Linked DNA regions of Caenorhabditis elegans. The protein of the gene in region 1 interacts with the protein of each later gene in a pairwise test. Each region holds a gene or a part of one and is shown on either strand. Other genes may lie near its edges. The genes, in order: nhl-1 and ubc-13.

Evidence for each region.
Region 2: the proteins of nhl-1 (region 1) and ubc-13 interact in a two-hybrid assay, tested with the Caenorhabditis elegans proteins (one study listed by BioGRID).

The regions. Positions count from the first base shown.
Region 1 is NC_003281.10:9,147,477-9,164,190, reverse strand, and holds the start of nhl-1 (RING finger protein nhl-1), read left to right. Parts: upstream 1-10,288; 5' UTR 10,289-10,386; coding exon 10,387-10,428; intron 10,429-10,861; coding exon 10,862-10,971; intron 10,972-12,525; coding exon 12,526-12,667; intron 12,668-12,712; coding exon 12,713-13,056; intron 13,057-13,102; coding exon 13,103-13,262; intron 13,263-13,340; coding exon 13,341-13,424; intron 13,425-13,475; coding exon 13,476-13,600; intron 13,601-13,653; coding exon 13,654-13,788; intron 13,789-14,419; coding exon 14,420-15,749; intron 15,750-16,040; coding exon 16,041-16,166; intron 16,167-16,212; coding exon 16,213-16,347; intron 16,348-16,393; coding exon 16,394-16,585; 3' UTR 16,586-16,714. Other genes in the region: dgk-3 (putative diacylglycerol kinase 3), read right to left, coding at 866-948, 1,066-1,114; ptr-9 (Patched-related protein 9), read left to right, coding at 2,558-2,602, 2,664-2,736, 3,398-3,663, 3,710-3,811, 3,856-3,957, 4,016-4,104, 4,333-4,655, 4,702-4,881 and 5 more; Protein irld-34, read right to left, coding at 7,026-7,139, 7,185-7,306, 7,357-7,566, 7,692-7,792, 7,836-7,965, 8,008-8,146, 8,194-8,264, 8,332-8,473 and 2 more.
Region 2 is NC_003282.8:2,917,445-2,931,706, reverse strand, and holds ubc-13 (Ubiquitin-conjugating enzyme E2 13), read left to right. Parts: upstream 1-6,015; 5' UTR 6,016-6,016; coding exon 6,017-6,296; intron 6,297-7,335; coding exon 7,336-7,503; intron 7,504-8,676; coding exon 8,677-8,684; 3' UTR 8,685-9,116; downstream 9,117-14,262. Other genes in the region: samt-1 (Molybdate-anion transporter), read right to left, coding at 86-227; manf-1 (Mesencephalic astrocyte-derived neurotrophic factor homolog), read left to right, coding at 3,289-3,358, 3,421-3,545, 3,618-3,762, 3,830-3,996; fbxc-45 (F-box C protein), read left to right, coding at 9,478-9,545, 9,591-9,726, 9,935-10,546, 11,638-11,844; Y54G2A.50 (uncharacterized protein), read right to left, coding at 12,329-12,465, 12,526-12,640, 12,719-12,842, 12,892-12,974.

The DNA.
Region 1 (16,714 bases):
CCTCATCATTTTTCAGCTTTATCCCTGAGCTTTTTCTACCACAAACAGGCACCATTAACAAACATAAATTGAAAGGAAAATGGAAGGAGAAACGCATCGATTTCCGTTTATTTCATTTTTGATACGTGGTGTTAGTTTTCCATTGTTGAAATAGGAAGTGGAATATGATGGAAATAAACTATATTTTTTTTACTTTAAAATGTTTGATGCACTGCCTACAAAACGGGAATCTCGAATGCTGGAAAAGAATTATTATTGAAACTTCCAACATTATTATTCTAAATTTTCCCATAATCGTACTGCTCTAAAAGAATATTTCAAAAACTCGTAAATATTCGTTTTCTTTATGAGCCTAGTAATCACCCACGCAATGGAATTTTTCAGGTTTTGGAAAATTCAATCATGTTGAAAATTAAGTGACTTTCAGGAAAACTTTTATCTTATTAACCCAGCAAATTTGTAAGATCAAAACACAAAACAAACACAAATGAATGTTCTCAAAACTCGTGTTGTGTTTGATTTTTGAATTATGTTATAATCTTATCAGCTAACAGAAAAATCATGTTTTGTTTTGTATATCAAATCATTTAATTTTAATTTTTTATATAGCGCTATCAAGTTTCTATGAAAACATGGAAATTATCTTGGTGCTCTTTTTTTAATGTGATTCGTATATCTAGGTTTGTATTAATAGTTCAAGATGACACAAATGAACACGATCGCATTATCAGTTACTCCATAAATGTGTTGATTATTTTTAAAAATTCAGTCAAAGTTATGCTAAATTGCCAAACTTTCCGGAACTTTTTAAAAAATAAATTTGAAGATTACTGCAGGTTTGAAATCCTAAAACGTTAAAATATACCTGCCCATCAACTGAAAGATATGAGTAGAACTTCCCGTCTTGCTGAAAATCGCTCAACATATCTTTCAACTTTCGCCGAGAATCTGAAAATTCAATTTTCCCTGTGGTTTTATATATCTTTTTCGAAGTTCTTTCACAGCAAATTTTCGGAAATTAGATTTTGTTCAGGTGTTCATTCTTCATTCTTTTCGTTAACTTACATGCCGCATATTCGCTAAGCCGCGAGAATTGCTCCGGTGATAACAACATTTCTGAAAATAATAAAATTGAAATTTTTAATCCAAAAAAAGATGAAAGGAGAAAATATAATAATAACAGTGTAAAAAGGAAATGTAAAAAAGGAATAAAAAGAAAAGAAAAAGAGGAAAAGCATGAGAAGAGAGAGAGGACTGAGCAGCTAATCTAAATCCTGATATTATGTATATTAACACATTTATAAATACACTTTTAATACGTTTGACAAGATTGGCTCACTCACTCGATGTGCATGTGCTCCGCGCTTCACCGCGCGAAAAGACGAGCGCTCTCCTGGTGAGCCAAAAAGGGGAGGAGAGAAGCGCTGCCCCTCGACCACACCACCCGATAATCCTCTGCTTCCTACGGTTTCAGCTCTCTTTTTAGCAGAGAATATCACGCGAAGAATCAATCGACACACCTTGTGTCTCACATAATGATTGCAATAAAAAAAGTTCACAGATTGACGCACATTTCCTTTCAGTTATTACGTATTACGCTGAAAGTGCCCAATGAAAAAAAAAAGAAGCCCCAAATAACAAAGTGTAATCAGATGGAAATTTGAGAATTGATAAAGTCGGTGATATAGTGTGATTTGTGTGCCAAATCGGATTGCAAAATGTGTGAACCGACCGTGAAGAATTGCAACTAAACTCGGGGAGATTGAAGATTATGACGGAGACATATTTTATGTTAGTGCATTTTGATTTAATAAAACCGAAAAAAGATAATAAATCGATTTAGTTTGATTTAATGCTAATAAATAATTTTTCCTAGAACTATAACAACTGCATCCTTAACAGTTTCAGTTGCCGTATTTTCTCTATTAGTGGTGCACCCAATTTCTCAAATTTGGTTGCACATTACTCGGTCGTCTGTTTTGAATCTTTTATAATTGGACAAGAAAATCCACTCTCCGACGTAGAAGTCAGTTTGGACGATTGTATAAATTTTTTCAACTGTTCGCCGGGTTTCCCGCTTTCCGGTTCTTTGAGTTTGAAGATCTGAGTATTCCTTACCGAATGGGTAAAATTGGTACTTTCATCAATTTTTAGGACAAACTATGAAAAAATCTCGATATTCTTTTGTATCCGTTTCTGATTTTTGGTAGTTTTAGGATAATTTTTTAACAGTTTTTAGATTTTTAATGAAAATAGTATTTTTAGGAAATACTAACTATTTTAGTTTCAGAACCCATATGTTTTGGGCATACAATAACACCTTCACCTTTTTCCTATGTGTTTTCCTATGCCTTAACCCATTCACAATTCGCCCCCTCCTCTCCTTCATACGCCAAGAAACTCATGTTTTTCGTTCCCGTAATAATCTAGGTCAGCTATACGTTCAACAGTCATCCTCTTCAACTTTTCCCCAATTACCACGCGCGCGGTACTACTAATTGCTCGGAACCGTACTTCGAGACTAGCATGGAAACCATTCGGTCAAAATTAGAAAGTGATGAAGTCACTCAACTTTCAATCAGTTGTTTCTCAGTTTTTCGAGGTCAGTTTTACAGTTTTTGAAAAGAGTTTGATGAAGTGCATGAAAATTAGATTAATTTCAGTATGAAAGCACAGTTGTTGTCAGATGGCCTCTTCCATTCATCATTATTCCTCCATTACTTACATTCTCAATCGGTATGTACCAGGGGTGTGCGGCAAATCTCAAAATTTGCCGAGCTCGGCAAATTCGGCAAATTTGCCGTGCTTAACAAACTCGGAAAAATTTGATATTTTTAATGTTTTTTGGAGCACCAAAACTACTGAATTCTTAACACACATCTGGTTTCTGAATAAGTTCCGCGTAGTATGTCTGTTTAAGCATCAAAATAGCTCAATTTTGTGACATTTTACTAAATTTCTGGCTAAAAAATCAATAGTTTTAGTCAAAATTGTACTGTCAAATTTTTGACGTGTGCGGCAAATTTCGAAATTTGCCGAGCTCGGCAAATTCGGCAAATCTACTTTTTTGAAATTTGCCGTGCTCGGCAAATTCGGCAAATTTGCCGAGCTCGGCAAACGGCAAATTCGGCAAATTCGGCAAATTTGCCCCACACCCCTGGTATGTACTATTTTCATGTTTCAATCAAACAATTGAGGATAAAATGGTAAATTTATTTTACTAATATTGATGCAAACCTAGACCTATCATGATCTAAAATAGTTTTGGTAAAAAATATTAAAAAAATACTAGAACACTATTGTCATGGAATTTGTATGTATCCACAACTACCATGACTACTAATAATTCATTTACAAAATACAAAATACTCAAAAAAACAAAAATTATTATTTCCAGTTACACTGACTGTGACGAATTTCCATTTGAACGTGACAAACGACACACTCCAAGTCTTCCTACCAGATGATATGAGAAGCTTGAGGGATCTCAAGGAACTTTTACGTCTGTTCCCACCGAGAGATGCTCAACGGGATACCTACAGTATATTTGGGTCGAAGTTTGTGTATACTGTGATAGAAGATGACAGTTCTGATGGTAATATATTGTCAAGTTCTGGAATACAAAGAATGTCAAAGCTTCATAAGTTTGTAATGGGGTTAGAGGTTGGCTGCAATTTGATGTTTTATGAATTATTTAAAACATTTTCAGACATCACTAGGAGACAATGTTGCATCGAACTGTTTGAGAAATAAAGATGATGAAGCTTGTACAATGCATCCAATCGCTTTTGCGCTGGAAGATACAACACCGGTTTTGTTCGAAATTTTGTTGTTAAAAATTTTTCTAACTTTCAGGAGTTTGCAATCCAGTTTCTACTTCGTTATCCAAATCTAAAATTTGGAGATTTTGTAATCGACAATGCAATGGTTTTTGGAGATGTTCGCATAGAACCCAAAGTAAAATAAAATAACAAACTGCTTACTATTCAGTAGTCAGTATATGTTGAATTTTCAGTCACAAGATCGGGATGGAAATTCGCCAATTCGTTCTTCAAAGGCTGTTCGAATGACTTATATCTTGGAATCTAGTGAATCCACGGAAAGGTGATTCTTTATAATTTGTTGAGAATAAAAATATTTAGCAGCAGTTTGAACTAGAAAAAGTCGAGTTGAAAATTGTTCTGTTAAGTTTTTCAGTGTTTTAAGACAATAAAAAAAAGAGTGCGGAATAAAGTTAAAATACTTTATTAGCAAGAAAAACTCTTTAAACAAGTTTATGTTTATTTTAAAACTGTAAATTTGATTTGTTAGTGAAGTTTAATAGTGTTTCAGGTGGATAGATTTATTTCTGTCAGCTATTCCACGATATAAAGAAACAAATTCCACAATATTTTGGTCATCTTCAAAGAGTCTAGCAAAGGAAATGGAGCGAAATGGGGAACTTCTGATTCCATGGATGCCTTGGACATCGCTAGTTCTTGTAGTCTTCTGTATGTTTGCCTGCTCTTCATTGAACATTGTGAAATCTCAACCATTCATTGGATTTTTTGCAATGTTCAATGCAACAATGGCAACAATTGCTTCAACGTCTCTTCTTCTTTATCTACAGTATCCCTTTCTTCCACTTGTATTTATTATGCCATTTTTGGTTGTTTGTAAGTTACTGTACAGTTATTTCAACCTATTTCTTTTTATTATCAGCAATTGGAACTGACAATATGTTTCTGATGCTCAAAAGTTGGAGAATGACGAAGAAATCTTCAAATGAAGAACAACGATATATTCACGCTCTAACGGAATCAGCGGCTTCTCTTTTCTTAACTTCTCTAACTGATGGCCTCTCATTTGCAATTGGGAGTATTTCAGATTTTCATGCCGTTAGTAAGTTTTTTTTTCAAATGTTAGTCTAACAGGGAAAGTGTGATTTTTGAACTATAAATTGAGACTTATGTTATTTGAAATTAGTCATTTTTCTTCAAAGAATACAGCGGTAGAAGATAATTTTAAACTTTGAAAAAGACAACGGAAAATTTGAAAAACTGTCTTGCATTTGAGAAACTTTTCCATGTCTGATCTTGATTTTAGAAAGCTTCGCAAATCGGAGAAAAACTCAGTTGTTTTCTTTTTTAAATGACGAAAAGCGTTTTCATCAAGTTGTGCGAAAAGTTTCAGCATAAAACTCAAAAATTTTAGAACATTTGTAATAAGATTTGAATTTTTTCTAGCTTAAAATCCTTCACTGCATTTTAATTTTTTGTACCCATTTTTGATAAAATAAACACTTTCAGGAGTATTCTGTACGTATTGTGCTATGGCGATTCTATTCATGTTCCTCTTTCAAGTTACATTTTTCAATGCAGTTATGTCATTATGCTGTAGAAGGGAAGTTTCTGGAAAACATCCAGTCTTTTGCTGTTATGAAATTACCCCGCCAGGTTTGTGAATTGTTCTAGTTGCACTAAAGAAATACAAATTTCAGAAGAAACACAGGTTCTCGAAAAACAGTCAAATTTCGATTTTTCTTCCATTGTTGCCAAACATTTATTCAAAATTCTCAACCCATTGCCATCTAGGATTGGAGTATTTTTCATTTTCCTCGCTTATTTATTTATTTCAATTCATTTTGCAATTGGTCTTCCACTTGGATTAGATTTAAAATTATTGGCTCCGGACGATTCATATGTTTCTAAAGAACTTGAAGCTCAGGAAAGACTTTTTGCGGACTACGGTGGATTTTGTTTTGCACTTGTTCGAGCTGAAAATATCTCATTGAAAGACCCAATGGTACGAAGAAATTTGATAGGACTCTATCGAGATCTTGGAGGGTAAGTTTCAAAACATACATTTTCAAAATAAAATTTCAATTATTTTCAGAAGTGAATATAGTTCTCCATCCGAGTTCTGGCTGGATCCATTTGAGAAGAAAAATCGTGGGAAAAAATATTCAGAATCCGATTTTTCCGACGAACTTCACACATTTCTCGCGAAAGAGCCTCATTTAAAATTTCGAAATGATATTAGATTCACAATGATGGGGAAGATTGAAGCAATGAAAATGATGTTTCGAGTAAGGAAATTAGGGAAGGATAATGATGCTCCACGAGCAGAATATATGAGAAAAGTGATGGAAAATAGTCAATTCAATGGATTTGTATATGATACCAGTTTTTTATTGGTTGATCAGCAAATGACTACGGTTTATAATGTAATTGTTGATGTGGTTTCAGCAATTTTAACAATGTTATCTATTTGTGTATTGATGGTAAGACATTTTTATAAACATGGCTCCAAACCATAGGATTTCAAAGTTAGACTTTTCAAAAAATAATTATGAAAATTAGAGATTTTTAAGTTTATGAGCATCTTCATTGTTTTATAATGATATTTTGGCTTTTGATAGACTACTTCTCAATTTCTCAAATTCAGGTTCCTCGCCCGGTATCTGCAATGTGTATTGCTTTTGCCATATTATCAGTGAATATTGGAGTAATCGGAGCCCTGGCAGCTACAAATACACGACTTGATATTATCTCAATGATAACAATTGTGATGAGTGTGGGATTTTCAGTTGATTATGTCACGCATACCACTTTTCATTTTGTTATTCAAAGGGACAATCGTCTTGAGGTATTGTCCATGAGAGAAGACTGAAAACAAGATAATTCAAAGTTTCAGAAATGCCTCCTGGTAATGACAGAACCAATTCTACAATCAGCTTTATCAACAGCTATTGGAGTATCACTTCTATCATTTGTTCACTCATATATTGTTCGAACATTTGTAAATACCGTATTCTTTGTAGTTGGGCTCGGAATTCTACATGGTCTCATATTTTTGCCTGTTCTTCTTGATACAATTGTCCCGGACTCAGAGTATATGGTTCCTTATGAACCACAGCATGAGGATGAGGAAAATCCAAATCATTACGAGGATCTTTACGGTTTATAATTTCAATGTGTTTTTACTTCAAGGATGTAAATAAAATTTAAATGTAAAAATATGTTTTATTGAACTAAAACAACCAGTTATATAAATAATTTTTGAAAAATCAACAAATAAAAGAGAAAACTCAAATTTAAATTAAAATCAAAAACCCGATATACCGAATTATCTTTTGTGTTGTTTTCTGGTGGCCCATCCTGAAAAAGTTTTAAATTTTTAAATTTTTTCTAGAAAAAACCAACTTTTCCAACGGAGCTCAGCGCAGTCGAATTGGTCCCTGAAACTTCCACGTCAACGATTAAACCCCCAGAATTTCCAGTTCGATTTTTGTCCTGATTTGGCACAACTGAGCTTGTTCGGTTTTCTAGAAAAAAGAGCAGGTGTAACTAACATTAATGAAGTTTATTCTCTCACCACAAATAGAATTTGATACTTCCTCAAATGTGATTGGACCTAGAGAGTTTAGATTTTCGCAGGTGTCCAACGATAAATTTGTAAGCAGAGGGTTGGAGAAAGCATAAAGAACATCTGGATAATTTCCGAAATATGGAATTGAAGTGAGATTTGAGAATTCTACTTCGGAGAGATTTCCATTTTCTTGGAGGAAGATTACAGGTAGATCAGCTGGAATATTTGAAAATTTAGATTAAATAATGTTGTCAATTTGACTGAAATTTCTAGCCGAAATTTTGGCAAACCACTTGAATTTGAAAATAAGACGGACGTCCGCCTGCCTACCAAAAACTCACGTTGAAAATTGTAGACTCTCCATAAATTTGGAAACTTCAAACTGGCAATTTCACTTTCAAACACTGTAATTGATCCCAGAATCTGCTCAATATCGTTTAATCTTAAAGTTTAAATTTTTAATGATCACATCAGTCCGCGATTACCTGCTCTGAAATTCTAAACCATTGATTTCTTTGGTACCATTTAAAACTAATGAATCTGTCAAAACTTGGCATCCAACAGGAATATTCTTATCATTGAAAAACTCAAAATTATCAAGTCGACAATAATTTTCTAAAATCAAAATTAGTTTTAAAATTTTTTTAGAGAACTAACTTGTTGGATCGCAAATTTGAATATGTGGTGCATGAAACTTCTCGGTTTGCATAAACTGTTCCAATTCACCTTCAGTAATGCATAACGATGGATTATCGAGCAAATAAATTCCATACTCTGCTTTCTTACTAAGAATTACCTGTTAAATATCAAATTTCAATATTTTTTGTTTTATTATTTGCTTACCTTCTTCAAACTTGTCAAGTACAACCTACGCAATAAACTATTTTTCGCAATTGTTATTATATTTCCGTACGCTGAAAAATACCATTTAGTATTAATATTGAAATTACAAAGTCTTCAAAATTTCCAAAAAGAACATACAGGAACATGTAGAAGAATTTCCAGTTTGTGAGTACTGAACTATTTCCAAATTTGATAAAAGTGACAGACTTGTGAAACCAGAGTTGGCTATCGTTATGCATCCAACTATTTTTGTGACATTTTCCAGCTTGTATTCAACGATCTTAAACAAATTATTGGAATCCTATAGTGTTTTGAATAAATAAAACCTCAAACGGTGGCATTGTTGACTCGAGACCCATTTGAATATGTCCATGAATTGTTGTGCAGTTGTCGGGTAATTTGTCCAACTCACATAATGGGCAATAACAATCTGTAAATGATATATTCAAAGTTATCAAAAGTATTACCGATTAGAATGATATTTAAGATTTTTGCATTTGGCAATTGGAAAATAAAATTTAAAACGCAGTTTTTTCCCTATTAGACTTGCACCATCATTTCTCTATTTTGACGGCTCATATTTCGGATTTCTTAAGTGAACTGTTTCAAAAACTGTTTCAGAATATAGATCAATATTTAGCGCGTATTTTGTCAATTAACAAATTTTTGATAAAACCAAAAAAAACCGAGATAAGCTGGACAGTTAGAAGAGAGTAGTAATTTCTTATAAATTTAATTGTTATCCAACATTTTGCGAAATTTCGTCTCTAAACCAAAACTAACTAAAATAGTAATATGTTTACTATTTCATTTTCACTTACCATCTCCAATTACAAAGTGATATAACTGAGTAAAAAGAGCGGCAATAAGTGGCCATTGCATAAATTCCAGCGCGTTACTCTTTTTCGTTGCAACCAGACGATAGACAAACAAAACTTGTGATTAGATTAACCAACTCAAAAACTGCTTTATTTTTTATTATTTCCGCCCACCCTCCGGAAAGCGATTGTCATAGTAACCAGCGAATTTCGCACGCCTTCTAGCTACTGCACTCGCTGGTTTTTTTTTAATGAAAAATAGTCGAAAGGTGGTTAGTGGGAGTTTTGAAGATTACGTAATTATAGAGAGCAGGATGCTGAACTTTCAGATTTTATTCAAATTATATGATCATTAGTTTCAAAAGTTTACCAACAAAAAAGACAAAATAAGTACATACATACGCTTGAAAAATCAAATAATCATGATTTTAAATACAAAAAAAGGAATTTCGGGAAATTGTCAAATCGTCAAATTACCTGAAAAGTTTAAAAAAATGTGCTTTAAAGAAAAATACTCAAAGTGTTATGAAAATACCACAAAAATAAAAAAGAATGAACAAACCAAAAAGGCAAGTTTCAATTGTGACTGTTCTCCATTTTTAAACTTCTTCCAAAAGTATAAGCCACGCCCATTTTCTAACCACTCAACGTCTTCAAACTCTACACAATCGTCCTGATTGGTTGAAAAGTGGGCGGAGCAAATCACTGATTGGTCAAAGTTTTTATTTCGGAGGGAATTCAAAATCGCGGTTTTAATAGTTCGAATTTCCATTTTTCTGCGGTTTATTTTTCGATTTTATTTTGTGGTTTTTTGAATTTCGGACTATTTTTATGTTTTAAAGAAACATCCTAATTTTAATCTACACTTTCAAGCTTCTGAAAATAAATACTGAAGTTCAATTTGTCAATTTCTTCTCAAATATTTCAACGTTCAGGACAGTTATCATAATCTTCGAGAACCAACAAACCAGCTGCATCTTCCCGCCGTTCATATCCTCATATCTTATTGATCTTTTTTTCAAATTCCCATCGGTTTCAAAACTTATGAGTAAATAGTCAAACAAAGCCTAAAAACCAGTAAAAGACTCAACCAAGAACTTTTCAAAATCCGATCCGCGCACCCCACGCACACCGATTGATATCGGCCGCCGCTGTGTTTGCAGGAGATGGCTGGGGGCGTCTTTCGTCTGTTGCTCCCCAGATCTTTCTCCAACTTCTCTGCGTCTCAAATCTTTTTTGGCTCCCGGGAGCACTCGGCACACTCATCCCCAACTCTCCAAGTACACCCCACTTTATTATTATATTCGATTCGTCTTCTCGTTCTATCCTGTTTTTTTTTAATTCGAAATTCCAATATTTCTAAAATTCAATCCTTATGAGCAGTTCTCCACAAAATGAAGCAGAAGCTCGCGAAAAGGTTTGTTCTAAAAAATTTATTTTTTTAAAGAAAATCTTAAATTCGTCGTTTTCCAAACATTTAAAAATTAATTTTGTGGACAACTGGAAATGAAATATACTTTAAACATCTACAAAAAATAATTATTAGAGACATTCATTGAAATTTTTTATCTTAAAAATATTGGTAACCCTATAACGGTCCTTTGAGTTTTAAAACTTAAATTTAAAATTTTTGTCAATTTTCAAAATTTTTATATTTCGTTTAAGCTCCCTATAGGTGCTGTACAAATTTTCTTTATTTCAAATAGACATTGCAACTTTAAAGTAACGTTTTTATTTTTTAAATGAAAAGTTATTCCACTGATTTTGAGAAAAAGTTAAGTCCCTGTACAACATTGATTAGTTGATTAGTGCAATCATCTCTAACCCACATGACCCATAGATTCTTTCAGATGCGCGAGCTGATGTCACGTCCACCATCGAGTCGACCAGCTGATTTTGTGAATCCTCTCGAAAAGATCGAGCAGTTGCTGACGTGTCCGATTTGTCTCGATCGCTACAAGTAAGTCTGTGATCTCAATCAGCTGTTCGTTTTGAAAGTGAGCAGACGAAATTGAAAGAAGAAGCACCACGGACAACCAAAACAAACTATTAGTGTGTAGTTCAAGGATAGACATAGGCCGTGTGACTTCTGACTGACCACTGTTATCATATGACCTAGGCTAAGTACCGCTTGGCTGAGGGGAATTTTTTTGAAAAAACGAGATAGACTTAGGGGATGCATAATAAACATCCGGTTGTTTACGCACTGTGCATCAAAACAATAATAAAATCAGACAGACTGTTATGATGATTAGCTAGGAGAACGTTATGGAGAAATCAACAATCTAAGATCCTGCAGGGATCTTTTAAAAATGAGGATCATTTTTGGGTTAAATCAACAACGTTTGTGTCAATAAATATAGACTAACCTACGTCAGAGTAAAAAGTGGAACATTAAAAAAAAGAGATGTTTCATTGATCTGTTATAGATGAACAAATGTAAACATCCATTTTAAAAACGAGAACCTTTTCTTGTAAAATATTTGAATAATACACTTATAGTCTCAAAAATAAAATAAAAAAAAGTAAAAAATTTGAATAACTTTGCACGAGACCTCAGACAATCATGACAAACATTGTATTTAGTGAACGTAGGGGTAAAGTTTTTCAAGCTTAGAAGGTGTAATACTATGATATTTTTCAACTCGCCATTTCTTGTTCTGTCTTCTCAAGTTTAATTTCTCAAGTTTTATCTTGCTAACTTTTTATAAATCTTTTTGTTTTTGAGAAAGACGAGTAAGAAGAGTTGGCGTAGTATTTTAGCCCACTAGGAGTGTTTTTAAACATTTTTTCTCAATGGCGATTATCTTCAAAACTCAACGTTTTTATTGAAGTTTCCTAATCATAAGTTTGCCAATTTTTTAGATTAAAAGCTCTAGCTTTTGGGCTATAACCCGGTGCTCATTGAAAATTCACAAAAATACCTCCTGCGATAAAAGAAACGTTTCAAATATTTTTTTTTTCAATTCAATAGATGATTGGAATTTTTTTCGAAATCTTAGAAATCATATGACAATATTTCAACTGGTGGCAATCCACTTTTTAACAATGAAACACTTCAAAATCAATCACACAGTTGTTCTCAACTCATTGTTAGAGTATTTCGAAACAGCTTCACCGTTGTATCTATCTCCATGTCGAACGGCTTTTCCTCTACTTTCTCTTTTCTCTTTTTTACAATCGAGAAGGGAGCCAAGAGAAGACTTTTCAATCGGATTCTCCGCCAGTTCTCAACTATTTTGCCATTGGCTATGGGGCTGCAAAGTGTGTGTATTACACCGATGAGGAAACGAAGAAGCCTGCTGGACGTGATCTCTTTGAAAGATATTTAGAAAGAGAAACGAGACTTTTTATGATTTTTTAAAGTTGTGAAATCGTGAGATATTGACATTGGACATCTGAAGAACTTGGTAGTTGAAATGTAATACTTTGAGCTTTGATTTTTATAGAGATAAATGCTGAACAGAATGGCTAAACTTTTAAATATCAAGTTATAGATTTAAACTATTTTCAGACAACCCAAGCTTCTACCTTGTCAACACACATTTTGCTATCCATGCTTGGAAAGTTGTGCAGACACGTTACATCGCAATTTGAAATGTCCAGAATGTCGAGCAGAACACAATATTCCATATGACGGAGTAAAGGCGTTTCAGGTGTGAAAATAAGTATCACTTTGAAGCAAAATATTTCATTTTCAGCCAAACTACACATTAACCGGGTTTCTCGAGATTCATCTGCAGGCCACACCAGAATCGGCTGCAGAAATTGAAGAGTACATTCACAGGTACAATTTGGAACGGTGCAAGATTTGTGATGAGAAAGCAGACTGTGAACCATGTGCACATTGTGATAGAAAAGCATGTAAAGAATGTCGACAGACTCATATGGATATGCTTAAAAGAGACATGTCGCGACTTTTGAATCAGGTTAAACGGCTTGCCAATCGAATTACGGAAGCATCGGATAATTTATCAAAAGGAGTTGATATGATGACAATGAACTGTGAGACAACAAAAGCAGAAATTAAAGAATATTTCCACAGGTTTGTCTGAAAAGATATAAAAACCCGAAAAAAAAATTAAATTCAGATACCAGAGAGATCTGAAAAAGAAGGAAGACAACTTTCTCATGGAAGTTGATACATTTCAAGCTACTGAGACTCGTAATATGAGCAATCTTCGTGATGTTCTGGAAATTGAAAGTTCTAATATGAGTGAAGCAGTTTCTAGACTGGATGCTGCAATCAAGGTGGGATTTCATTGAATATTTTGAAGCTATCGAGAATTTCAAAAAGATATCATAACAAAAAAATCTTAAAATTTTCAGGGAGAATGTTCAATTGAAGATTCTGAACTTGTTCGAATGAAAAACACGTTTACGGAAGGGCTTGAATATCTTAGGAACTTTCAGGTAACTTTTTAATTTAATTGTTGAACATTTCTTATTGTATTAATGCTTTAGCCCGACGCCGACGAACTTTTTAATCGAAAACTCCGATTCTCAGCTGGAGATGATGCTGCTAAGCTTCCAGCAGCGATCACTACTTCTGGTGAACTTTGTGTTCTAGTTCCTCAATTTTCGGGAAGGTATATTTCAAAAACTTCAAAAAAAACGAAAATCTTTAGTCAATACTTTGTAGATACCTCCCTCTTGAACAATCATACCTTCCAAGACCATTCCGTTTACCATTGGAAAGTGACAGTTATCGGGTTAAATCTGACGAAAGAGCAAGTATGAGAGATCGAGAAGCTGATAGGACATCTTCAAGGCACAGGTATGTTCCATGGGAATTGGTTTTGGTTTTTTATTAACAAACGTGTGATTTTTAGTCAAGTAGTTTAGTTGTATAGTGTAGAACACTAATTATAGAAAATCAACATTGTTAAGGTGTCAAAATGAATCTACGTCCGGTCTCTGGCTCTCGACTTCATGTTTTCAGTTTTCTATGTAACGGCTTATTGTTGCAATTTACACTCAAATATAGTACAATTTATGTTTTATTCATTAAAATATCTTAGAGGTCGCCAGAATTGTGTCAAGATGCTAAATTTGCCATGCCAATAAAAATAATAATATTTAAGAAAGGGGCAACGGACAATTTAAAAAACTATTTAAAAGTTAATTATTTTCAAAATTTTATTCGAATTTTTGAAGAAAAACGGCTAGACAAAAAAGTAAAAGCGTTTCCGCGTTTTTATGTTGGTTTATTACTATCCAATTTTGGTTATTTTTTGGCCAAACACATATTGATCGCCCTTTATGAATATTAAATTTGGCACCGGCATTTTGACATAAATCTATTGAAGTTATAGTTCAATTTAGCTTGGATAATTTATTAAATGTATAATCTCACAATTACTTCTCCATACAGTTTCCCTCTCTAAACTATCCTCTTTTAATTTCAGTCATCGAAATCCTGAGCCTGATGAGTCCTCGATTCGTTACCGTCGTCGTCAGCAGCTGGAAGACGAAGCTTGGAATCGTCTCCGTAATTCATCTGCTGCTCCTTCTCTTCTTACTACATCAGTCACTGCGGACTCTTCATCACGAACATCGCCGTGGGCTGCTGATCGTGTCACCCGATCAGTTGAACCAACCAAGTCACGGCCAACAAGTCTGATTGTTCCGAATACTGAAACACCAAGAACTGTATCTCCAGCTAGTAAACCTCCTCTTCCACCACAATCTGTTGAACGGGTTGAGAGGACTGAAGATGCATCACCTGCTCCACTTCCACAACTTCCGATCCGAAAGCCACCTCTGCCACGTCAACAGTCCAGTAACGATGATTCTTTGAATGAGAAAGTGGAAACCATCCGTAGAGCTCATCAACAACGTCAAGATGCATCTAGAGCTGCATCAAGAGCAGTTTCAAGTGAAGAATCAGAGGGAGAGGATTTTCCCGTATCCACCAACCGCGGTAGAATACGAATAGTTTGTCGCGCGGCATCTGTAAACCGTGATGATGGACTGATGAGTATGATCCCAGGAACTGGTACGATCATAAATGTTCCGCCACCTCAACATCAACTTCCGGCATCCGCTCCGATCACCAATGGGACATCTGAACAAGTCGCGATTCCAGTCACACATTTCACAGGTGAGGAAGACGAAAGTGACATCGTCGTGCCAGCGTGGTTACAGCGTCGGAGGCAACGCTTCCAACGCTCGCGCACAAATCCCGACATACAGGCACAGTTCACAAGTGCTCGAGTGCAGCAGCTTCTCGCCGAACGTCAATCTCGTTTAGACTCTTCTACGACAACCGACGAAGAGAAAGAGAAGCTTGCCGTTTTGCGACAGCGTGGCCGCAGCGCTTCTCGTGAAGCTGGTGAATGGAGGGCTCGTGGTAGACCACGTGCAGTATTCGGACGAAAAGGTGCGAAGGATGGCGAGTTAAACTGGCCACGTGGAATTTGTGCATTGTCCGGAGGTCTTGTCGCAACTTGTGATTCGTCTAATCATCGTGTCTGTGTTTTCGATAAAGATGGAAAATTTGTTCGTCAGTTCGGAGGCTACGGTGCCGGTGCCGGACAACTTGATTCAGCTGCCGGGCTAGCAAGCTCAAAGCTCCGAGTTATTGTATCCGACAGGTACAATCATCGAATTTCCGTTTTTGGATTGGAAGGAGATCATTTGTTCTCATTCGGTGGACATGGACAGGGAAATGCTAAGTTCAATAATCCATGGGGAGTTGCTGTCGATGATTTGGGAAGTATCTATGTGGCTGATAAGGTAGGTCAACTATCATGAGACGTTTCTCAGTAATGCGAAAGTTCATAATTGTATACATTTTGATAAAAATTAACTTTGTTTATTAATTATCATCAAGAGAAGAACTTTGTTTTTGTAGATTCATATATTGCAGGCAAACCGGACGTCCGGTATTTTGAGTATCATTTTTTAATTTTTTTTTTTTTGGAAATTCGGACGCCGGACATTATTGTGGTCCGCTTTGCAGATCTAGATTAAATTTTAAAAAACATTGCCCCACATGCTAAAATACAAGTGAAGCTTAAATTATAGGATAATCACCGCGTCCAAGTCTTCGACAAAAATGGTCAATTCATTGCAAAATTCGGATCTTTCGGACATCTACCTGGTCAACTAAACAGTCCATTGTTCATAGCAGTTAGCAGAGTTACTCATCACGTGAGTGATTCCAGATAGATTCATGAATCATTCTGAATCGTTTCAGGTGTATGTATCAGATTCTTCGAATCATCGAATCAGCGTATTCGATCCCCACGGTGTTCATTTGTTTTCATTCGGCGAGGAAGGTTTTCATGGTGGACAATTCAAATTCCCACGTGGAATTGCTATTGATTCACAGGTAAGGCTGGAATGCTAAAGAAAAATTCTAAACCATTCATTTTCAGGAAAACCTAATAATCGCCGACTCCGGTAACAACAGGATCCAAGTTTTCGACGCCCAAGGTCAATTTGTCTCCTCTTTCGGAACTTGGGGTGGAGGAGCTGGACAACTGAAAGGTGTCGAAGATGTTTGTGTCACTGCTGACGGTTCAATTGTTGTCACCGATCGCGAGAATCATCGCATTCAGATCTTCTAAATTATGTTTTTTCGGGCCTTATTCTTGTTTCATTTTCAATTAAAATGTCTCCTTTGTAATTTTCTGTTATCGATACCGATGCCACCCAACTTTTTAGTGTTTTCATCTTTAGGTACAAAGCACTTTTAC
Region 2 (14,262 bases), on another chromosome or scaffold:
ATTCTAACAAAAAAATCGAACAATCACCTGTTTTCCCGCTAATCCAAATCCCCCGCAACCCCAAACTAAAAAAATAATAACCTACCAACAGCCATCATATACACAATAAGATAGGTTCTCTGGAAGCTCTTAAACTTTGGATCATCGTTTGACTCGGTGGCGGATCGTGTGTAAAAATAGAGCAGGCCACATACGGCTGCAAGACCGTAAAACACGCCGACGAACATGGATTCCTTGATGAGTAGTGCTGCTGGCGGCTTCGAAGAACCACGTCGTCGCCTTCAAAAGATTCCGAATCAGAGATAGGAACGGGTGGGGGCGTGGCATGGGAGAGAAGAAAAGAGTGAGAGAATTGAAAGAAGCAGAGACGAAAAGCCACGAAGCAGCAACACAGCGGGCGGTGGTAGGGGGGGCACTGTTTCTATGGGGTGGAAGAGACAGACGCAAATATAGATAGGAGGAAAGGGAATTATTATACTCTTTTTGGTATTTTGAACCATTTGTTTGTGCACTTTTCACTGGAAAATGCCATGTCTGTCTCACGAGAAACACAATTTTTATTTGCAAATTAAATTTCGGAGCGATTTATATGCGGAGAAAAGAAGGGCTGTAAAACCAAAAAAGGTGTGAAATATGTTATGAGACTTTGCTTTTTTGCTTTTTTAGCCCTAAAATAGTCCAGAAACTACCAAATTTCGTACTGAGACGTTCTCAAAACTTGTCAAAAAAAGTAATGGCGACTCAAAAAATACATATTTTCAACTAATAAAATCTCAAATTCTTCCAACAGAACTCGAGATCCAATGGGACAGCCTGACACCATGTGCAATTCCGCAAATTCCAGAAGTAATATGATAAAATGTGCATTTATCACAAAAAACCTATTTATTTTTCAAAAACAAAACCACTAGACTAAAATGAAATTCTGGTGCACAAAAGAAGTTAGAGACTTCATGAAACCAGGAATTTCTTTTGAATTTTTCCAAGGGAATTGTGTTGCGCTACACTGCAACTTTTTCCTCACGAGGGACGAGGAAAAGTGGTTTCTAGGCCATGGCCGAGGGGCCGACAAGTTTCAGCGGCCATTTATCTTGCTTTGTTTTGAGCCTGTTTTCTTTTGCTTTTCACAGCTTTTTCCCGTTTTTTCTTATTAAAACTGATAAATAAATATTTTTTGCAGATGCTAAAACAATTTCCAAGTAAAAAAATTATGTATTCAGTCGGCAAGCAGCGGTGAAAGTGGTCAATGCAACATGATGGATTACGGGAATACAAAACCTAAACTTTTTCTTAAACATGATACATATGCTGCTTAGATGCTGAAATTACCTGATTTTCATAACGAGACCGCTGAAAAAGTTTTGAGGTTTTCAAAATTCAACTTTTTGTGCGAAAATCTCGACTTTTTCACCAAAATAGTTGAATTTTGGAAACCTCAAAACTTTTTCAGCGGTCTCGTTATGAAAATCAGGTAGTCTCAGCATTTAAGCAGCATATGTATCATGTTTAAGAAAAAATTTAGGTTTTGTATTCCCGTAATCCATTATATTACAATGCCCACTTTCACCGCTGCTTGCCCACTGAATACATGATTTTTTTACTTGGAAATTGTTTTAGCATCTGCAAAAAATATTTATTTATCAGTTTTATTAAGAAAAAACGAAAAAAATCGATGAAAAACGAAAGAAAACAGGCGGAAAACAAAGCAAGATAAATGGCCGCTGAAACTTATCGGCCCCTTGGCCATGGCCTAGAAACCACTTTTCCTCTTCCCTCGTGAGGAAAATGTTGCAGTGTACAATGCAAATCTGAATTTCCGAACAATTTATATGCGGGCAGAGCTGTAAAATTTTGGTTGAACCTATAGTGAGAATCTAGTGAGATGAGTCCAATTCTACCACACGGGCAAATCTTTAAACTAACTTTGAAAAAAAGGGAAAAAATTTTAATTCCCGCGTCAAAAATTTACACAGAAACTTGAAATATTTACCCCTAAAGATTTTTCTCAGAAGGCAAACTTTACGACACAGTTTATTTGCGTTGGGACGACGGACTAATTTTTCAAACGGTGTAGAAAACTCGGCCACCAAAAAATTTTATAATGGTCAAAAAGTAACCTGAAAATTTTCAAAACTAATTTCATTAAATCCTGCCAATCTAATTTTTTTCTTTGAAAAAAATTATTTATTCGCGGCCGCGCAGAAGAAAACTCGGCCACCAACTTTTCGAGAACCCTCATATCAGCAAAAAAGAATACAATGTTTTTAGAAAAAAAACTCACAACTTTTCTTCGACTGAAAAAAAACTGTTAAACTAACCTCAATGTTCCGATATTAGTTTTGCGATGACGTGGCATTAAATATAATAAAAATGTGGAATTTGTTAAAAACTAAAAATTTCACGTAAATAGAACCGAGTTTATCAAGAAAGTTCACGAATATGTTCTGTTGAAAAACTTAGTTTTAACCGTAAAAATTCCAGGTTTTTATCAAGATGTGCCTATTAATAGAATATATTGTGTTCCCAACGCGAACTGTGCAAATTTTCAGACTACAGTACCCCTCTACAGTAGTAGTTTTGAATTCGAAATCGCTTTTTCTTCTTTTTAGTGTTTTCAAATCGAATTTTCTTGTAATTCTTGGATTTTTTGGTTCTGGAAATTCTGGAAAACCCCCTGAAAATGGTACAAAACCTATAATACAAGAAGAAAGTATTTTGATCGATGCACCATGACCCGATCTCCACGGGAACCGCCAAATCGACTTTAAAATCCCTTCCACGCGAGACCTGAATTTCGTTCTGGACCAAGAAAAGATTTTTTAAAAAATCTGATTTTCAAACATTTTTATTTTAAATTTTGCGAACCTGTAAAAAGTGAAGTTTTATGCAAATTTTCATGTTTCCCGCGATCTTTAATGCTAATTTTAGTTGGAAAATACGATTTTCTAACTATTTTTGAGGTTTTCTCAATGGAAAATATCGTTTTTCACTGCGAATCAGCCCGAATAAATTACAAAATTAATTCCAAAAGTCAACGTTAACGCTGACGTCCACATCGAGAAACGCGCCAAGGAGAGTGCTGACGCGCCCGCGGTGCGCGCAAACACGTCAGCTTATTTTCTCGAATTGCGTTCGCTTTTTCTCTATTTTCTCTCCGTTTTTTCCGCTTTCTTTTGTCTTTTTATTCTATTTTTCTGCATAATTTGTTGGTTTTTTTTTTCAGTTTTCCCGCTATTTACACTCTCAGAGCCCTGAAAACCCCGTAATAATCCCTGTTTTTTCCAGCAGATGAGCCGACTCGTCCTTCTCATCTCCCTGGTGATTGTCGTCGCCTCGGCTGCTGCTCCACAATGTGAAGGTTTGTAAATTTGAGAAAGCTTAATTACTTAATTATCTAATAAAAAATCGCGAAATTTTCAGTCTGCAAAAAGGTTCTGGACGATGTGATGGCAAAAGTGCCGGCCGGCGACAAATCCAAGCCAGATGCCATCGGAAAAGTGATCAGAGAGCATTGTGAGACCACTCGCAACAAGGAGAACAAATTTGTAGGGGATTTAAAGATTTAAATGATTTAATCTAATTTTCCTTTAAAATTTTTAATTTTTATCCATTTTCAGTGCTTCTACATCGGCGCACTCCCAGAATCGGCCACTTCCATCATGAACGAGGTCACCAAGCCGCTCAGTTGGTCGATGCCAACGGAAAAAGTCTGTTTGGAGAAGCTCAAGGGCAAGGATGCTCAGATTTGTGAGCTTAAATACGGTTCGTTTGGCGCATAATCTCGCTTTTAATCAAAAAAAAAAAATAAATAAATCCCCAAATTTCACAGACAAGCCACTCGACTGGAAGACGATCGATTTGAAGAAAATGCGCGTGAAAGAGCTGAAAAACATTCTCGGCGAGTGGGGAGAGGTGTGCAAGGGATGCACCGAGAAGGCCGAGCTCATCAAGCGCATCGAGGAGCTTAAGCCGAAATATGTCAAAGAAGAGCTGTGATTTTTTTTTCATGCCGTTCTACATGTGATAATCGTGTTTTTAGCGTGTGTGTTTTTATTGCAATTTTACTTGTTGAAATCTATTTTTTATTAATAATAATTTATTTATTGATTTCCCCCCCCCCCCTTAATTTTTTCGTGTTTCATCATCATCTTCCTCCCACTGGTCTGGTCAAATGAAGCTTTTTTCCCTGATTTTCCCTCAGTTTGCCAATTTTTCGGTTCTAATCCGGTTTTTAATAATTTATTTTACCTTTTTTCTAGGTTTTCCAGGAAATAAATCAGTTTAAAAATGTGATTTTCGAAGATTTACGGTCGAAAACTGGCATTTTTAGGCTGAAAATATCGATTTTCACCTTAAAAACCTCCAAAAACCAATTTTATCGATTTCGAAACGTTATTATTGATGGAAAATACGTAAAAATGGAAAATAATACCCATTTTCAGCTTTTTCAACGCCGAAAAATCAATTTTCGGCGATATTTTCTACTAAAATTACCGAAAAATGTGATTTTTCCGCAAAAATATGCGATTTCATAACAGTTTTCGTTGGGAAATGCACAGAAATCCAATTTTTCTAAAAATTTCGCAAAGGAATTGATTTTTTACTTAAATTACCGTTAAATTTATACATTTTTAGTATAAAAATTAAGATTTCGCGTGGATAACGAGAATTTACAGCGTTTTTTTGCTGAAAATATCGATTTTCTCGAATTTAGCGTTTTCAAAATGCTCAAAACGTCGAAAATTCAGTTTTTGGCATTATTTTTGATGGAAAATACGTCAAAAATGCCAATTTTCACTCTGAAATGCACATAAATCCTATTTTTTCGAAATTTCACTGTTGAATTGATTTTTTCACTCAAACTACCGGTGAATTTACATATTTTCAGATGAAAAACTGAAAGCTCCCGTAGAAAACGCGTCTTTTTCAACATTTTGGTGCTGAAAATATCGATTTTCCGCAAAAATAACGAATTCGTAATGCCAAAAACGTCAAAAATACACATTTTTGCGTTTATTTTTGATTAAAATTACTCCAAAATGTCAGTTTTCTGCAAAAATATGCGATTTCATCACTGTTTTCCATGGAAACTGCACAAAAATCCAATTTTGCCATTATTTTGCACCGAAATCGATTTTTTTCTCCAAAAAAATTATTCGAAATCGTGAAAAGCGAGCGTTTTTTAATGTTGGAAATCACAAAAAACCCAATTTTATCGATTTTTGGCCGACGTTTACGTTGAAAACTCGAGGAAAACAGTTTTTTAATTGAAAAATTCATAGTTTCCCGCAGAAAATTAGATATTTTAACTTTTTGTACTAAAAAAAATGGCATTTTTCCGATATTTCGAGAAAAACTTCGATTTTTAATTAAAAAACCTTGAATTATTAGTCTTTTTTCTTTTATTTCAGCCAAAATTTATACATTTATACATTTTTTTCTTCAGTTTTCACCATTTTGCACTCAAAAATCCGTCTAATTGTTGAATTTTTAACAGAAAAACAGTTTTTCGCTGGGAAAAGCTCTAAAATCACTCAAAAACCATCAAATTTATTCCACTTTTCCATGGAAACTGCACAAAAATCCAATTTTGCTATTATTTTGCACCAAAATCGATTTTTTTTTCCAAAAAAATTATTCCAAATCGCTAAAAACGAGCATTTTTTTGGTTGGAAATGCCAAAAACACAATTTTATCGATTTTTGGCCGATGTTTACGTTGAAAATTCGAGGAAAACAGTTTTTTAAAGTAAAAATTCATAGTTTCCCCTAGGAAATTAGATATTTTAACTTTTTTTTTGCGGAAAATGGCCCTTTTCCGATATTTCGAGAAAAAACTTTGATTTTTAATTAAAAAACCTTGAATTATTAGTCTTTTTTCTTTTATTTCAGCCAAAATTTATACATTTATATATATTTTTTTATTCAGTTTTCACCATTTTGCACTCAAAAATCCGTTTTTCTAATAGAAAAATCAGCTTAAAAGCCCCAAAACACACAATAAAATTTCTTGCAGAATGGCCGGGCAACTTCCGCGTCGAATCATCAAAGAGACACAACGACTTCTCGCGGATCCGGTTCCCGGAATATCGGCAAATCCAGACGAGAGCAACGCCAGATACTTCCATGTCATGATAGCCGGGCCAGACGATTCTCCATTTGCTGGTGGTGTCTTCAAGTTGGAGCTTTTCCTTCCGGAAGAGTATCCGATGGCTGCACCGAAAGTTCGATTCATGACAAAGATCTATCATCCGAATATTGATAAACTCGGCAGAATTTGTCTCGATATTCTCAAGGGTGAATAGATTTTCCCCTTTTTTTGAAAAATTAGTGAAAAAATTTTTTAAAAAACGGTTTTTAGCGTTTTAATCAATTATTTTTAGAGAATTTTCTGAATTTTCATCGAAATTTGCTATTTTTACACTGTTTTAACACAAATTTATTGATAAAATTCAGAAATCTAGCTTTTTTGGATATTTTTACTTGAAATTTTTCGAAAAACAGCCCATTTTCAACAATATTCACGAGTTTAGATGAATTTTTTGTATTTTTTAATATTTAAATCAAATTTAGCTCTTTTTGAGCGTATAAATCCGAATTTCATGCTCATTTTTCGCATAATGAGAAAATAATCCAAAAAATATGAATTTTTACGCATTTTAATGGGAAAAATGGATCAAAAACAGCTTATTTTGAGCGTTTTTTGACAAAATAGACGAAATTTCGAGAAAAATCGTGTTTTTTTTTGTTCTAATAAATATATTTAGGTGCATTCGAATGCGAATTTCTCGAAATTTAATTTTAAAAAACCCTCTTTTTGTGAAATTTTTTTCAAAGAAACTGCGAAAATGTATCATTTTTGCGCATTTTTAACCAAATTTCATCGAAAATCTCGGAAAACGGCGTTTTTTTGGCAATTTTTATTCAAAATTGCGAAAATTTCGGCGAACCCCCAGTTTTCGAGGGACATTTTCAATTTATGATCGAAATTAGCTATTTTTAATCATTCTAAAGCGAATTTCTTGTTAAAATTGCTGAAAAATCTGATTTTTTAGTAATTTCAATGGAGAGATAGTAAAATTCGATTTTTAATTACAAATTTCGTGTAATTTCTTCGAAAACTTCTTTATTTTTGCGCATTTTTTCCAATTTTTATCGAAAAATTACTCCAAAAGAAAGCATTTCGATAGATATATCTCATTTTTTGCGCATTTTAATCAAATTATCCATAGAAAAGTTCAATTTTTCGGCTATTTTAATGCGAATTATCTCGAAAAACTGCTCATTTTGAGCTTTTTCACATGAATTTCTCGAAAAAAAATGCCCAATTTTTCAGATAAATGGTCGCCGGCTCTTCAAATTCGCACGGTTCTTCTGTCGATTCAGGCTCTTCTTTCGGCTCCAAATCCGGAAGATCCACTGGCAACTGATGTCGCCGAGCAATGGAAAACGAATGAGGCCGAGGCGATTAAGACTGCAAAACAATGGACGATGAACTATGCTCGTCAGTAATATATCTAGGGTCTCGCCACGAAATCGATGAAAATTTGCAATTCTTTTGAAGCCAAAATCGAAAATTCGACCTCATGTCGATTTACGCCGATCGTGTACTCCCCGAGGAGAAGTTGGAATGATTTTTATACAGTTTTTGACCTTTTTAACATTAAAACTATCAAAAAATGGCTCGTAAATCCGATTTCCAGCCGAAAACTGCTTTTACGCCACTAAAAATATCGATTTTCACGGAAAACACTGTAATTTACGGCTAAATTTGCTATATTTAAGTAAAATTTCAGGAAAAGTCGACGAAAACGGCGAAAAACAATACTTTTAGCGCAATTATGGAGCCAAAATCGAAAAATCGAACTAAAAATCCCTGAAATTGGCGCATGTCGATTTACGTCAACTCGTGTACTCCCCGAGGAGAAGTGGGGGTGAAAAAAACGGGTTTTAAGGTGAAAATTATTGATTTTGGCCTATTTTTTCTAATTTGAACGTTTAAATCATCAATTTTTGCTCGGAATTATAGCTTTTTTGATAAATTTTTATTTTCGAATTTTTTTTAGTTTTTCAACCTTTAAAAAATCGAAAATAAAAATTTATCAGAAACACTATAATTTAGACCTAAATTGGTGATTTAAAGATTCAAATCAGGAAAAAATAGGCCAACATCAACAATTTTCGCCTCAAAATCCATGTGCTTCACCCCTCTTCTCCGCGGGGAGTACACGAGCTGCGTAAATCGACATGTGCCAATTTCGGAGGTTTCTAGTTCGATTTTTCGATTTTTGCTCCAAAATTGCGCTAAAATGATTGATTTTGGACCGTTTTCGCATCGACTTTTCCACAAATTTTACATAACTATAACAACTTTAGCGCTAAATTCCAGTTTTTCAGTGAAAATCGAAGTATTTAGTGTCTTAAAAGCAGTTTTCAGCTGGAAATTGAATTTATGAGCCATTTTTTTGGTAGTTTTAATGTTAAAAAACTGTATAAAAATCATTCCCACTTCTCCTCGAGGAGTACACGGGCTGCGTAAATCGACCCTTCGAATTTTCGATTTCGGCTCTGAAAACAGTAGATTTTCCTAGTTTTCGCTGTGGGACCCAACAATAAATATGCATTTTAATAAATTTTTTTTAACAATTTAAAAAATAAATTAATAATTTTTTTTCAGAAGCCTGATCGTCTCCGAAGCTCGCCTCTAGAACAACTACAAAAAATCACATCAAACAAAAAAAAATTCGAAATTCTCTCAGCCTGCTCTTTGTCCCGCCTTTTCCCGCCCCCTTACGAACTTCCAATAAATTGTATGAATTGCATAAAAATCTCGATTTTCCCCATCTTCTACTATATATCTAAATATTGATTTTTTTTGTCCCCGCCCGGTTTTTTGTCTCGAAATTCTACAATTTCCTCCCCATCCCATTGAATTTTTTAAAAAATTTTTTTGTCTCTGTTGTCTCACGATCCTCATCAAACCGTCGTCGTCCATTTAATTTAAATTCTTCTTTTTTTCTCCCAGTTTCCAGAAAATCTTCTTCCATCGAAATTGATTTTTTTTTCTCTTTTGGAAATTTTGATGATTTTTTGAATAAAGTCGTTATTTTTTTTGAGAATTTTTGAGAAATTTTTGAAGGCATTTCCAGCAGTAGCCTGATGGTTTTCAACCGGAAAAAATGCAAGAATAAATAGAAGAATAAATAGTAGATATTGTGATAGAAATTTTAAAAACTGGAAACTGCCTGAATCGCCGATTGCCGAAAGTGAGAAATGCCGAAAAAATGCACGCTGATATTACTGTAAATTTAAAGGGACACACAGTATCTTGTTGCATGGGTTTCATCGCGATGTGTTCAACTGTAGCTTTTTGATTTTTCTTTCGATTTTTCGAATTTTAACTGTGTTTTTTCATGTTTTTCTTGCGAAATTTGAAGCAATTACCGATAAAAAATTTTTAATTCAGATTTCTGCAAACATGGACTCGAAGCCACTCACCTATCTATCCATGCAGTGCATTATCAAACACTTGGAGGCGAATAAAAGGTGAGACAAACAGTTTCTGTAATTAACTAAATACATAATTCTCAGATTCCGACTGGCCGCACAATGCCCATCTCTTGTAAAGATCGAAAAATCGCAACCTCTGATTATCAAGAAGCTGGAATTCAATCGTAGTACAATCTCTGTCAATGGAGTGAAATACAAACTTGGTGCTAGGAACAATGTATGAATTTTTGCCATTCTAGACGAGGGTGTCGGTTTTAAGTATTTTACTAAATTCTTTTGAAAATAAAAACGAAAAATTCGTTTTTTTTTCTCAAATCGAAAATTTTTCGCCATTTTAAATCTAATAATGATAACTTTTTGGTTTTTTTCTCACTAAAATCGATAACTATTCTAGAGAACGGATATTTCAATGAATACATTTTCAGTTCGAAGCCCCACACACTCTGACGAGAGCGCAACTCAATGGACGACATCCGCAGATCCATGTTAAATGGTTGAATCTTCCAGATGAAGACTGTGTACCTGAGCTGCCGGAATCCTTCAAGAAGTTCATGGTTCAATATGTACGGAATTGGTCGTCGCTTACCGATCGATTAATCGATCCAAAGAGCACGCCATTGCTCATTTATCTCTCTGGAGGTCACAATTTGGATTTGCTGGATGTGATTAATCGACACGAAATCTTGAGAACTTGCGATGGATTGATGCTTTATATTGTTCCTCGTGAGCTCTTCCATGACATCGGAGCACTACCCAACTCTTTGATCGAATTTACTATTGAAGGTGTTGAAGTTTTCGATTTCCTCATTTTGATTGACGCTTTGCTCCACCCAGACCGTGAAATTGAAACAGAGCGTATCTTCATCACTGAAGATGCCGATTTGGTCGCGAATTTATTCAAAGCATTCACTTTACTGGCAGAAGGAAACGATCTTGCGATGTTTCAATATGAATTGTGTGGAATATTTGGAGATGAGTGCGATGAATTCCCACAAATTTTCATTCTGGATCAACGATACGGTCACTATACGGATACGGTAACTGCTGCTGTCACTCCTCTTCTTCCCTTGTTTTTACCCTTTTGAGGCCCTGATTGGGGGTTTTCCATGTCAGCTAATCTTGCCTTCTTGTACATTTCTCCATCACCATGCTGCCAACCATAAACACTGACCATTCCCGCGTAGACCCATGTCTCGTCACAAGATCCAATATAGTACTTCTTCACATCTAATTCTTCTTTAATTTTCAGATAAATATTTCTGTTCTTCACAATATCTAGCCTTTCGTCAACGATGGTGTTGTGATTCTTCTTTCTGTACACAAATCCCAAACCACGCATCACAAATCTCAAACTTGTAGATCCTCTGTTCCACTGAATATTCGATTCTGCCCAACTCTGCAAGGATTCAATAACCACGTCTTTCCCATCACACCAGAGCCCATGGATGTACTTTGTGAGCTGAAGCCGTTTCACCAAAGAAAGTTTTGAAACTTCCTTTCGATACCGTTCCTTCTTGCTCATTTCACAAATACGTTTCCTTGGTTGCTGGCTTCGTTCCGGGGTGCGACGTTTCACAGTGTCTCTATGAATTCCACAAAATTGAGCAGTTGCAGTAACAGTGTTGTTGAGGAATGTGTGCTTCGAATCAGATCCCATTTTTTCCTTCAGAATATCCAAGACCTCCCGGACGTTTCTCATAATCTCCTCCGCGGTTTTTGGTGTATTTGAGTGAATCTAGACTAGGAAAGGAACTCGGGTCAATTTCACAAATAGCTTTTCTGATTCTAGCAAACACAGAATTCATCTAAAAATACTTTAAATTTTATCTCGGCTAATTTATATATTATGGAATCACAAAATTCTGAGAATGCGTACTTTACAATATATTTGACGCGCAAAATATCTCGTAGCGAAAACTACGGTAATTCTTTTAATGACTACTGTAGCGCTTGTGTCGATTTACGGGTTCTAGATTTTTGAAATGAATTTTCTCATTTTTTTTTCTCAATTACTGTAGTTCTCGCTACGAGATATTTTGCGCGTCAAATATGTTGTGCAATACGTATTCTCAGAATTTTGTGTTCCCGTAATATTCTACCTCATCAATAATCTCTTTTCCTTTTTCAGAGTCAAAACTACATTGTGTGCCGGAATCCGAAATGGACGGAAGATCGGGGCCGACCTGCTGGCAGCGCATTAGATCGGGAAAGCTCAATGGATGTACTTCGGTTCCAGCCGATCTCTGTGCTGGTTTGGCTACAAAACCGATCGACCTTCCGACAACTCTCGACTCTCCACGTCCACCATCTGTGCAAATTCTCAGTTGTACCATGATTTTTGCTTATTTTATTAAATGAATAATATACCTTTTACTCGTATCAGTTGTTCTCTAGAAATGTTCGGATCACGCGACATTTTCTTAAATTATAATTTTTATTACAGAAAAGTTTAAAAAAAAACATCTACAATGAGAAATCAATTGATAATTTGGGCAGGGAACAACTAGAATATGTAAAGATTTCAAGGTTTTATTGATTGAGATCATCTCAAGGTATCTATTAATTAATGAAATACCAAAATGGAAAATTAGTTTCTGTTTTGGGCCAAGTAGATAAGAGAGCTCCCGTTGAAATCGACTGCTTTAAAATGGATCCTAGCTCCGATGTATTAGTGCATGACTCAAAGTTGCCTGGAACAGTCTCGAAGATGGTCACGGGTGCAGCCTGGAATTATTAAAAACATTAACTCTATTTGACTGGAAATTAGTAGTTAACAGCCTCATAATTTAAATAGTGGCCAATAAAAGCTCCTTCCAGTCTCAAAGTCTCGATAAACCACTCGGAAAAGTCCTCAAATCGGTTCGCTTCTTGTCATTCAAGTAGTGACAGTGACGACCATCGCCGAATCTCCTTTCGAATCCGAAGATGAAGACGATGAAGCATTGCTTGATGGAATCTGAAACGACAATTTGTTATTCACTAATTTTTATTTGTTTTTTTGTTGAGTTCTACTTACTTTTCGTTTTATTCGAACACCAAGCTCGCTTCTTGTCATTCAAGTCGGTTCTTGCCATTGGGAGCAGGGTTGCGAGGACTATCGATCGTGTTTTGTTGAATGCGTCGAAGAAGGACTGAAAATTCGATTTTCACAATTAAAATTTAATTTTTGTATTCGTTTTGTAGAATTATAGGACTCATATTGTACTAACCAATGCTGGACTCATACACCACAAGCCGATCGTAGTCTTGCCGCATTCTGAGATCGGTTTATGACCCGTCTCTGAGATTGATGGATCCTTCCAGCCGTCTCCGTCAGCTGCAGCATCTGCTAGCCTAAAAATTTAAACACATTTTATCATATTTCTGATTTTTTTTTGAAAACCATGTGTTCTCATCCTTGTACTGCATGTTTCTGGGTCCCGCCGAGCTTCTTGTTGTCGTTGGTCTTGGATATCCATCGCCCATTTTGATTTATCGGCTCAATCGAGATGTTTAACCTGAAATTGTGAATTTTTGTAGTGTTAGAAAATCCAGAAATTGGAAGAAAAAGAAACTTTCATTAATGCTTCGAAAACATTTTTTTCTTTAAAATTCGACTTCTAGGCCAAATTCCCTACCTATACATGGATTGGTACTGAAGATTTTCAAAATATGGCTGAAAATACAACCACTTCTCGATGCAGAGCTTGGTTTGAACGCGTCAAAGTACTGCATTTTCGGCTCATGATGTATGCTTCGTAATTGCATTGAAAGTCCCCTGAAATTGAGGGAAAAATTGAGAATTTTTGAAGAAAACGTGAAATTAACTTCGAAATAGCGATAAAATCGATAAAAACGGATAGTTCACAGTGTTTTTCTCGAAACAAAATTATTTATTTCATTTTTGAACACAAAAAACACCTGGAAAGTGAACAATTTTCAAGAAAATAACAGTATTTGACAAGAAAATGGGAGCAAAAAGCAATATTACCGGTACAGAGAGTGTAGATAGTTAGAGAGTGGCAGACATTCGGGACCCAAAGGGGAGGGGCGCGGGGAAGAGACGAAACGATTTACGAGGTGTCGGTTTACGGAGCATTTCTCTTGATTTTTTTTCTTTAGCGCAGACCGATTTTCTTCTAATTTCTGTTGTTTTTATCCATTTTTCTTCCTCTTTTTTTTTTGTTTTCTTGTAAAAAATAATTTTTTGAATAAAGATAATATGTTTTTAATGTGTTTTCTGTTTATTTTTTATGGAAAATTGAAAGGATTGAAAGGAAAAATTTTTCAGCAATTTATAAAATGAAAAAACCGGCGAATTACCTGAAATTGCTGAAAAAGAGGATTAAAAATGCAGAAAAGCTAGTGAGGGTGTATCCTTTCAATTTTCCATAAAAAATAAACAGAAAACACATTAAAAACATATTATCTTTATTCAAAAAATCATTTTTTACAAGAAAACAAAAAAAAGAGGAAGAAAAATGGATAAAAACAACAGAAATTAGAAGAAAATCGGTCTGCGCTAAAGAAAAAAAATCAAGAGAAATGCTCCGTAAACCGACACCTCGTAAATCGTTTCGTCTCTTCCCCGCGCCCCTCCCCTTTGGGTCCCGGATGTCTGCCACTCTCTAACTATCTACACTCTCTGTACCGGTAATAAAAAACTAGTTGAGAATTGCGCGCGCCGCACTTGCAAATACTGTGCGCGCGCATAGCAGGAGTGTGGGCGCGGCTTAAATCTCTGAAAATCTGCAGTACACGCCACGCAGTTTTA